Nothobranchius furzeri: one gene and its partner. The protein of the gene in region 1 interacts with the protein of each later gene in a biochemical or structural test. Links are inferred from orthologs where the notes say so. Each region holds a gene or a part of one and is shown in the gene's direction. Other genes may lie near its edges.

What was found. The genes of interacting proteins can lie anywhere in the genome.
Region 2: of the proteins of hmga1a (region 1) and prmt6, one has a biochemical effect on the other in vitro, tested with the Homo sapiens proteins (2 studies listed by BioGRID, with this or other methods). The link is inferred for Nothobranchius furzeri from reciprocal best matches to the Homo sapiens genes HMGA1 and PRMT6.

Annotation. Positions count from the first base shown.
Region 1 is NC_091755.1:54,121,508-54,127,405, forward strand, and holds the start of hmga1a (high mobility group AT-hook 1a), read left to right. Parts: upstream 1-2,420; 5' UTR 2,421-2,629; intron 2,630-2,711; exon of another isoform or gene 2,712-2,866; intron 2,867-3,507; 5' UTR 3,508-3,522; coding exon 3,523-3,621; intron 3,622-4,359; coding exon 4,360-4,440; intron 4,441-5,237; coding exon 5,238-5,294; intron 5,295-5,824; coding exon 5,825-5,896; 3' UTR 5,897-5,898. UniProt on the Homo sapiens protein: HMG-I/Y bind preferentially to the minor groove of A+T rich regions in double-stranded DNA. It is suggested that these proteins could function in nucleosome phasing and in the 3'-end processing of mRNA transcripts.
Region 2 is NC_091747.1:40,741,700-40,747,364, forward strand, and holds prmt6 (protein arginine N-methyltransferase 6), read left to right. Parts: upstream 1-2,719; 5' UTR 2,720-2,794; coding exon 2,795-3,850; 3' UTR 3,851-4,449; downstream 4,450-5,665. UniProt on the Homo sapiens protein: Arginine methyltransferase that can catalyze the formation of both omega-N monomethylarginine (MMA) and asymmetrical dimethylarginine (aDMA), with a strong preference for the formation of aDMA.

The DNA of each region.
Region 1 (5,898 bases):
GTGGAAACGTTGTAACTTGTCTACGATCGTCCCCTAAGCCCACATCTGGGAACATGTTGTTTCTGACAAAAAAATCTGAAAACTTGAAAAGGGCACTTTATCCATGTTTTTTTATTGTGTTTTTTACTCAAGAGTTTGAGTTTCATGTTGCAAAGCAACTCCTAGTTATTAGATATTACACATGGTTATGCTCAGGAGGATATTCAGCCCATTTGCACAAACATTTTAATGTAGTTTTGATGCACATAACAACTGCTGTTTAAGTGCAAATATATTGGTGAGTTCTTTGCACTAATAAAGTTGTTAATTTGTAAAGTACTTTGTCTCACATCAGTCATATCGTCAGTTATATCGTTATAGCAAATTTTCATATATATATATACACACACACACACACATATATATATATATATATATATATATATCGTGATAAATATTTTTGGCCACATTGCCCTGCCCTAATATTTTTTTCTGATAGTTTTTCAGTCACATTTTAAACAAGAACAGAATTTGCAATGAAATGAGAAGCATATGAGAGAGGCTTTCATCACTACACAAAATAAATAATCCTTAATCCTTTACGCTCTTGTTTCTTTCAAAGACGCCTTGATTTGCATTAGGAGCAACAACTCTTGCAAATCATCCCTGCCCTTACAAAGATGGACTCACCAGCTGTTTTAGCTTGCAGCCAGTCCATGTAAACTGACATGAGTGAGCGATGTCTTCCCCAAAATGATACGATGTCCCAGACATCCTCATAAGTTAGAGGTTTATGAATAAAAGATGGGTTTATTTTTCTCCTCCACCACAGTTATTTCCTCTAGGGGCTGCGACTTTTTTACTGAATTACTAGGCTGCTGCTTTACAACTCTGTTTATTTACCTTGAGTCTTCCCAAAAGACGTTGAGTCACATGTCTGCATTGAATATTTTCTTCAGATTTATTCATTAAAGTTTGTTTTGCTTGTGAACAACATCAATGAGTAAATCACCTTCCAGCTTTTGATGACAGAAGTACAAGTTTTTTTTTAAAGATTAGTTTTAGGTTAAAAAAAGAAGAAAGAAAACCATAATGAAGAAAAACCTTGCTAATTATAGTTAAGATTCAAATATAATTCTGAAATAGCAGCAAAAAAGTACAATTTTTATTTCAAATGACTCATAAAATGTTTAATAAAAATCTATGTTAAACTTTTCATATTAATTGTTGCCTAATACAAGAATAATTTAGGGACCATGTCTGCACATGTAGATGAGCACCGATGTTAACAGAACAGTAAAATTCTTTGAGAAAATCAGCGATGCTTCATAGGGAGTTTACGATTTAATTTCATTCAAACTAAACTTCGGCTAGTAGATTAAAATTAGCTCCACATTTACTGTTTCTCTTAGGGTTTCATACAAAATGAATACACAAATATGTTTTAAAGATTAGCATAATTAAAAAAAAGAAAGGAAAATCAACATAAAGAAAAAAAACTCCTCAATATAATTAAGATTCAAATATAATTCTGAAATAGCTGCTCAAAAATGTCATTTGAATTTTAAATGAAACATAATTGTTTTTTCTTTAATGCACAACAAATAAAAGAAAATTAGATTAAAATTAGCTCCACATGCATTGTTTCCGTTTGGGTTTTGTACAAAATAATATTATTAATATATTTAAATAATATGTATAAATTAAATTACTTTTTAGTCTCGTTATTTAAACATGAGCAAAGGGATTGTTTACATTGGGGGACGTCATCATAGTTCAAGCGCCATGACAGTGGAGGCTATGACACAATGTAGGTTAATTTTATTTTATGAAAAAAGTGGATTGTAAGCAATTTAGTCATTTCGTAAAACCCCTTAGATGCTAAAACAATGACGATTTACCAACTACTTTCACCCATGTCAAGAAAGTGATTCATAAAAATGGAGATTTGTAAGACGTTAGCTCTTATCATTCTATAATCCTTTATTAGACAAATTAACTCACTTTGCTTTCCCCCCAATACTTAGTTATTTGTTTGAATGTATAATTTTGGAGATTATTATACAACTATGATAAATTTATTATATGTATAATATAAAACTTTTGGATATTAATTTGGGACTCTTTCAGAATGAATGTAAACAATGGGAGAAATGTCTTGTTTACATTATAATAACGATATTTTAGAAGCCATTCACAAGCTGTCCGGTAAACATACAGTAAGCAATAATTTTATATAACAACTTAAAGAAATACGTACTGTGACCTTCGACGAGTTGAAAGTAACTAGATAAGTGACGAGATTAAACGTAAACTTCCACAGGTAGCGCGTCTCGACTTGTAAACACCCTGTGACGCAATAATCGGCCTGCGCAGGCGCTGCGCATTTCCCCAAAGTATAATATTTCGACGGGGGGCACGGATAGTCGGAACACCGGCGGTGCTGAGTGGAGGTTGGGCTGTTCTGGTTCTGTTGGTGGCCCTCGTTATCATATCCCCGCCCTCCAGTGTTCCCGCTCTCCTGAGGGCGGTTCTTTAAATTGTCCAAAAACTCCTCCTGTCCGACTCCGGCGCCTTTCATTCCTTTATCTGCGCGAGACGCACGTGCTCTACCGAGGGAAACCTTTGGATTAAACTTCTCACCGTGCTGGTAAAAATAAATATGTTTCATGTACAAAAATGCAGAAAGTTCAGCTTTTCGCTTATTTAAATGGGTTTGTGTGTGTTTTTAAGGCGCGTGAGCTGGGCTTTTTAAATGGGCGGGCTGTCTGACGAATAAAAGCTGTAGCCTATAGATCAGCTTTTTAACCGGGTACGCACCAGCCGGGCTTCAAACGGAAACAAGTCTACCTGAGTTTAGCACGGAGGCGATAGCACCGTGACAAAGGTGAGTGGGGATGCGACCACCGGTTTTACAAACAGCCCGGAGCTCCGGCGGGAAACGGCGGCACGTTGTCAGCCGTCTTTTGTTGCTTCGGTCCGGGCTCGCTCCGCTACACGGAGACCTCGGTTGCTGCTCTCCCCTCCGCCACTTAATTTTTAAAAAGCCATTCAGCTCAAAGCTTGTTGCCTGCAACCAGAAACGAGCCGCGGCCATTGTGGTGTGTGAGTGTCGGTGGATCTCTCCGCGGCCCAGGCGTGCAGACACGCTGCTCTGAGATGGTTCCGTGCGCAGGCCTGGTCTTTGGGCTCCTGCGGGGCCTATAAGCGCGGTCGGTACCGGAGGGAATTGGCTGGTTTTGTGGTCTTTTGCAGGTTAAGCCTGCTGTGATCGGTTTTCTGCGTAAACCTCTTGTGTCGCAGAGCGCAGACGAGACGGAAATAGACCTGGAAACCAGCGCGGATTAATTGGGTTAAACCGTGCGTGGTGCGGTCGGTCATCTTTGGTTTGTTGTTGCGGTCAGTGGGTTTAGTGGCTCACGGGTACACGCTGTGCTCAGTTTTCTGTGTGAACTCGACGCCTCTTGCAGCATCAAGGCCGGCCGGTAGGGTTTATTTAAATCATCATTATCATCATCATCCATTCAGGTTGGAAGAGCAAATATGAGCGACAAGGGGACAGTCTCACCGAAAGAGAAGGAGGCGGCAGAGAAGAGAGGGCGTGGAAGACCCCGCAAATCGCTCGAGGTGAAAACCTCTGACGTAAGTAGTGTCTATTTATTCTGGTATACTAGCTGATTTTCTACCACCCCGTCGTTTTATTATTATTATTATTATTTTTTATTTTTATTTTTGCATGCCATGGGAATAAACTTGATCTTAAATGCATGCAGAACCAGGCCGGTGTGGTGCTGAGCCTCAGGTCCTCTTGTGATCGCTGAGGCTCAGTTAGACGCACATGCAGGTTTGTGCATATCAGAGTCTTGAGACCAGAATAAAATAGCCCAGACTGCAGGAGCATGGCCTTGTGGCCATTTGCCCCCTGCTTTTCCACTGCTGAGGTGTACAGCAAATTCCCAGCATGTCTCACCAGTTTGTAAGCAACCAGTAACCTAACACCTTTAAACTGGTTTTAACCTCCCCCTCATCCTCTTCTGCATTACATAGGAGAGTTGTGGCCCAGAGTGGATCACATAGATGTCACTTGGCCTGCTGTGTATTACTATTGAGTTGCTGGGTTGCTAAGAGCTGTGATGATCAACACATCAGACGAGCAACAGAAGACGAGTGGGCCATGACGCCGGTTTAAACCACGAGTTGTGCATGAATTTGCTGAACTTTCAGATGTTATGGCAGTCCCCTCTGATGTTTACGGTTCAGCCAGATTGCTCAGTCAGTTTTTGTTTTGATTTCAATTGTTTTGATGTGCACTAAAATTGAGCCTTTTTGGGCATCTATTAAAACATTCTTGATATTAACTATAACCTGTTTGATATCCAGGAGCCAAGTGGGTCACCAACTCCAAAGAGGCCCAGAGGGCGACCAAAGGGCAGCAAAAACAAGACTGCTGGCAAGGGCAAGGTAAGTCATTGCTCGTCTTGTTTGAAACTTATATTCCCGTAGTTTGCAACAGCTAACCTCATCCTCTGCTGTTGATATATGTTTATTGGCTGCAGTTCAAGGTGCCACAAATAGCCCGGCCATGACTCCCTATTGGGGGCGGCAAAGTGATTATCAATACCAATAAATCTTGGTTAACTGCTTTATTTGGGGGTGGAAGGGGGGGCCTGATATTTACCCTGTACTTCCTGTCCTCCAGCTTCCTGCAGCTTGTCATGCACTGTGTGGTGCAGGTGCAGAGGCCGCAAGACTGTTTCCAGGCTGACACTAAGCACCCCTCCGCCCCCAACCAGCACACAGCCCTACTTCTTCTCTCTGCCTGTCGTCTCCATAGCAACAACTGCTTTTTCTCCCTCTCCCCAACCCTTTAGCTCCCCTGTGTGTGCGCGCCATTTGCTGTTACGTATGGGAGATGGAGTGAATAAGGGAGTTTAGGAAGCACCGGTATAGGTTTAGAAGTGCGGGCCAAGCTGTAGGGTTTGTCTCCACTCGATTTCACCAGCTGTCTCTGAGCCTCGGACCAGGTGGCCAGCGAACTGGAGTGCCCCGTGTGCAGTTCCTGTCGGCCGTCCAGATAATAGCCAATGAACCCAGTGCCCCCTTTCGATCGGTCTTGTTGCAGAAGTACGGCTGCCATCTACAGGCTAATCTGCAAATGGACGACAGATCCCCAGCACGTCGCTGAGAATGAAAATCATCTCTAAACAGCAAGACCCTCTTAAAGCTATATTGACCTTTTTAGTTGTTTTTGTTCACAGAAAGCACCAGCAGCTGCGTCTGCAGGGGGCAAACGCAGGGGCAGACCCAAGAAGGAGGTGAGTTGAAAATGCCCACAGTTGCCATGTCTGTAAATTAAACAAACTGGTATGAATGCCTACTGGTTCCCTCGTCTGCTGCCTTGTTTTGGTTCTTAACGTGACAGCAGGGATAGTTTGTTTTTGCTTGTCTAAATTGTGGTTTTATAGTGACATTCCACAATGAATGTGAGTGGTTGGGCCATACCCTAAAAGTAGTCAGGATTGCATTGGTCATGACGGGAAATCCGACTGCCCTCCCAACTAGCCCACCCTTTTTATGAATGAACGTGTTGAAGTGGTGAGTGTTCAGAGGGGAAAAGCAGGATGGCTCATTGTGACTCATCGGTTATGAATCACTTTTCACTACCCATGGTTCCCCTGAGTGCCTTTTCATGCCACAGCGGTTCATCAAACATTTTTCATTTCCACATTGGTGCTTGGGAGTTCATAAAAGCAGAAGATGGTCAGGTCGAGGCATGACTCACCCTCAGAAGTTGTTGATCCACGAGGGATCAGACAAAGTTTAATTCATGCTTTTCTCGTCGCAGGAGAAGGAAGAAAAAGCATCCCAAGAATCATCTGAAGAAGAAGAAGAGGGAGAAGAGGAAGAGGACCAGTAACT
Region 2 (5,665 bases), on another chromosome or scaffold:
CCATTTATTTTATTGCTCTACGTTTCACAGATGCTTTCCAAACATTATGGATCTTCCACTGGATTTCTAGCATTCCATTTCACTTTAATTTCACTTTAATAGCATTTAACCTTTTACCAAGCTCTTCGGAATAAATTATCATAATCTCGTTGCCTTATTTTATTTCATTTTTTTTGTAAATTCTATTATAGATTAGCATGTGACTTTAAAACTGTCACAATTATTGGTAAATGGAGTCCATCTTGTTGGCTAGTGACTTTTTTTTAACCCAACCAGCATAAGGAGCAGTGTGTATGTCTGGGCTGTGTGGGTGGACGTCATTGTCCACCTTGATCACAGTTTAAACACATTGAACTTTGAAAGCATCATTGATGCCCTGAGTTGGCCCGTGCACCACAACTGGCAAAAAGTTAACCCCAACAGTAGAATATGGTATATTTTGGGGGCATTGCCCACATTTTAACTGGTGTTGCTTACTCTACAGATGCATGATTTGTCAAACTTTACCCTGTAGTAAAGATAACTAATCAGGTGTCCAACACTAAAAGATTTGTTGTCCAAAATCATAATTACAAGTAAGAATAGGCCATAAAGTTTCTCTTCATTTTTGTGCTTTTTTTTCTTTTTTTTTTTTGCTCTTCTATGTGCCCTCCCTGGGCTGCCACTGGTGGAGGGGTTTGAGTGTCCCAATGATCCTAGGAGCTAAGTTGTCTAAGGCTTTATGCCTCTGTTAGGGTCATCCATGGGAAACAGGTCCTACGTGAGGGATCAGACAACATGCAGACCACAGACCCCTTATGATGGTTTATATAAATGGTCTTGCATCGCCCAGACTTGGGCCATCAGGACCCCCCTCTGGAGCCAGGACTGGAGGTGGGGCACGTCAGCAAGCATCTGGTTGCTGGGCTTTCACCCATGGGGCCCTGCTGGGCACAGCCTAAAGAGGAAACGTGGGTCCTCGTTCCCATGGGTTCACCACTTGTGGGAGGGGCCAAAGGGGTTGGGTGCAATGTGTGATAGGTGGTAGTCAAAGGTGGGAACCTTGACGGTCTAATCCTCAGCTACAAAAGCTGGCTCTTGGCATGCGGAATGTCACCTCTCTGGTGGGGAACTACAGTTTGGACTGCCCACTCTTTTTGGAGTCCTTGGAGGGGGTGTTTAAGATTGTTCCTTCTGGTGAATCAATCATTCTGCTGGGGGACTTTAACGCTCACGTGGACAACAACAGTGAGACCTTGAGAAGTGTGGTCGGGAGGAACGACGCCCCTAATCTGATTACAAGCACTGTTTTGTTATTGGACTTCTGTGCTCATCATGGATTGTCCATAATGAACACCATGTTCAGACATAAAGGTGTCCATATGTGTGTCACGTTAAGGGGGTGGTTAGGACCCAAAAATGCAGAGACCCAGGCATGGACGTAATTTTGGGAGGAGACAGGGGGGACATGTCCCCCCCACTTTTTCCAAAGTCAAGTTTTGACCCCTGCACTTTTTACCATCCAAAAACAATATTACGCTATATTAAATTGACACTGGTTGAGCTCTAGGACCAAGTGGAAAACAACCGTTTGTGTTGAAGCCTGTTTCCCATTAGAGCATACTGTAAAGATACCCCCCCCCCCCCCTCCATGTCCCCCCCACTTCTAAAGTGAAAATTACGTCCATGGACCCAGGATGACTCAAGGTAGGAGTGGATGTAAAGAATAAATCCTTTTAATTGTAAGATGACAACAAAAATAAATCCAAAATGCTGCAAGCCAAAAATCCAAAAGTCCTGGAGCACAGGACACCGAAAGCTCACTTAAAGCACAAAGTCTGGGGACGAGACAAAAGGCTCACACAGAGCACCAGAAAACGCTGACATACAAAACAACAATGGACCGACAAGACACTGAGACAAGACAGGGCTTAAATACACTGGGGCATAATGGGAGGACGATGAGCTGCAGGTGTGAGGGGAGAGAACCAGGTGAAAGTGATAACTAATCAGGGAGGAGGAGCAGGAGAGGACACCAGACCTAACTGGGAAAGGACACACACACACACACACACACACACACACACACACACACACACACACACACACACACACACACACACACACACACACACACACACAAACACACCTAGCTGGAGGAGGACACATACACACACACACACACACACACACACACACACACAGACACACACACACACACACACACAACTAGAATAATAGACCTATGGAAATTATGGTGGGGAGACTGAAGAAACACAGGACCTGAGAGGGAATATCTGGAGGGCTGAAGACCAGGGGACACAAGAGGAACACAAAGAGACACAGACACAGACCATGACAAATTGAGAGCACGTTTATCTTCATGTTTTCCTTATGAGGAACATATAAAAGTGTGTGAGTCTAATATAACAAAACCAGACCATTTAAAGTGTGTTTCTTAGGATTCACATGTTTTGAAAATGAATATAGTTTATCAAACACATGAGTCATTCATCCTTTCAAAAATAGCAATGTGAGACTTTGTAATGCAACAAAATTAACGTTAAAAGCGCCGAATTTGAAAGGTTTTATTATAAGCCACATTAGAAGTAGGAGGTCAATTTCCCTACTTGTTTAACGTCCGTGACTGCAACGAAACCCAACGTGGCTTCTACTTACTTACGGGATTTGTAGTTTAATTCACATTGACTCACGTAAATTATGCGCAGTGGAAAACTACAAGTCCCATATCCGACAAGGTGAAAGTACTGCAACAATACATCACCTCCTTGTCGCGCACTAGCGTTCAGTAAAGATGTCTCATGCAGGAAAAAAGAGAAAATTAGACAAAAGTCGCCAGGATAGACTTTATTTTGACAGCTATTCTGATGTGACCATACACGAGGAGATGATAGCAGACCACGTCCGAACCAACGCTTACCGGACGGCCATCTTTAGGAACACTGAGCTGATCAGAGGAAGAGCCGTTCTGGATGTCGGGGCAGGAACCGGCGTTTTAAGCATCTTCTGTGCTCAGGCTGGCGCGAGGAGGGTGTTCGCTGTGGAGGCCTGCTCCATAGCCGAGCAGGCGGAGGAGATCGTGAAGCACAACAAGGTGGAGGACATAGTTCAGGTCATCCGGGGGACGGTGGAGACCGTGGACCTACCGGAGAAAGTGGAGGTGATCGTGAGCGAGTGGATGGGCTACGCTCTTCTGCACGAGTCCATGCTCAACTCGGTGCTGTACGCGCGCGACAAGTGGCTGAAGCCCGGCGGCCTGATCCTGCCGAGCAGAGCCGAACTCTACATCACCCCGATCAGCGACCCGGTGGTGGAGGACCGCTTGTTTTTCTGGTACACCGTCAAGGATCAGTACGGGGTGGACATGTCCTGCATGTCTGACTTCGCTCGGAAATGCATCAAGAACACGGACATCACGGTGAGCTCGGTGGCCGTGAAGGACGTGCTCTCCCACCCGGCCCGCTTCGCGGAACTGGACCTGAACTCGGTGACCGTGGAGGAGTTGCGGTCGGTGAAGGGCCCGTTCCGGTGCGAGTCGTTCGGCTCCGCGGCGGTGAACGCCTTCTGTGTTTACTTCACGGTGACTTTTCCCTGTCCGGGCGTACCGCAGACACTGGTGCTGTCCACATCCCCGTCCCAACCGGAGACTCACTGGAAGCAGGCGGTGCTGTACCTGGACTCTCCGGTGGAAGTGGTGCAGGACACGCCGGTTACCGGAGAGGTTAGAATGTATCCCTCCGAGGACAGCGCCAGACACATATGCGTCCACGTGGACTACACTGTAGGACAGCAGAAGACACAATCTAAGACTTTCTCCATCCCTGACTGGACCCCTGATACTCAATCTTAATGATAATAATCCAATTTAATCTCATTTAACTTGTTCTGTCTTCACTGTGAGCTGATATGAAGGCCTGGTCAGGAATAATCTACAAATTAAACCCAAGCTGCTGTTTAAAGATTTTATGCAACAATCTGAGCTGATTTGAGATTCTTTAGACACAAGCCTGCTGGTCTTTTATTTGTTTTGTCTAATAAAAGTTTCCTTTAATTGACATAAAAATGCTTCATAGCACCTTATTGTACATTCTTTAATTGTGACGTTTCTCTTGATGTTACCCTTTAAACAGACATGTCCAAAGTGTGGCTCGGGGGCCATTTATAGCCCTTGAAGTGGTTTTATGTGGCCCCCAAATAAATATCTGGGATTAATTCTGTCTTTCTAGAGTGCTGTTGATAAAGACTGGCAGCTTCTGACACTTTTATGTTTAGATCTGTCTTCTACTAGAATGTTTAACCTTTTTTTGTATTTTGTAATTTGAATTGCTTTTATTTTCGATTTATTCACCATATTTAACTTTCTCTTGTACCATGTTCAGCGCCTTGGGCTTCCCGATAGGGTTGCAGAAGGCGCTTTATAAATAAAGCTTTGATTGATTGATTGATAGATAGATTTGTCCTAATATGTATATTATGAATGTATTGTGAGGAGAACTTTTTTTTTGTTAAATCAACCTAAAGAAGTCATTTTTTAAATTGTATTTTACATTTTTTTTACATCGACTTGATCATTTTGCCCCTTCTGATAAATTTAGACACATCAGATTTAGAATCTTAACATTTTAACAAGGTTCATCTGCAATAAACATTTTTAATCAAAAGAGTCGAGTGAATAAGTACAAATCAAAGGTTTTAATGTAGAAAAATATGTAAGACCACAAATAATCCTAAATTAATCAAATAAAAATGTTCTGCAGAACTAAATAAATCTGGTCAATATTGTTACCAATTTCCTGGATGTTATGACAAAAGTTTATTGATAGTCAAATTAAGAACATTTTTAAAGATTTTTTTAGGCAGGTCAACAAACCACTTAATCTTTGTCTCAACTATTCAACTTTTTACCATTGCATAAATTGGGTTAATATTGCTAAAAAACATTCTGGCAGATAATTATTAGAAACTTGCTATTTTAAATAAATAAGTGAACTTCTGTTTATTTTTAACAAGTATTTATTTCTAAACAAGATCCCTTATTTAGTTTAGTAATTGTGATTATATCTATATAATAATGATTTTATCTAAAGGTTGATTTTAAGGATTTGCTCCAAATTAGAAATAAAAACAGCAATATTTTATTAACTGGGCAAAAATCTCACTTTCCTCCCAACTTAGAGAATAGTGATCATAATTGTAATGCGGGCAAACACTGTTAAGCTATTTCTAGGTGCAGTCTTTTGCTCTCTTATTGAATATTGTGTTACTCGCAGGTTGCAGCAAGGGCAGCATGTTGGGCAAACCTTCGTGTAACACTAGGAGGTCGTGTGAACTTCCACTTTTAAGTCATTACGCAGGTACATAATTCAGACTCAATTTACTGGGTCGGAAACATGACAAAATATGCAGAAAGAATGCTTGTTGTGGATAATTTCTGCTCTTTAAAATGATGTTTTCCTGTTTAATTACAATTTAAAATCCAAAACTGACCCAAATCAAATTTTTGATGAAAAGAAAACCCCCTGCATTTTGATTATAAATCACTACTCATAAATGTGTGAGGATGTAAGTTGATGATAATGATTCTTTCACTTGAACAGTGATCCTTTTGTTTCATCATCTAATGATGATCACAAGCTATAATCTGAATACATCAAATGCATAGTTT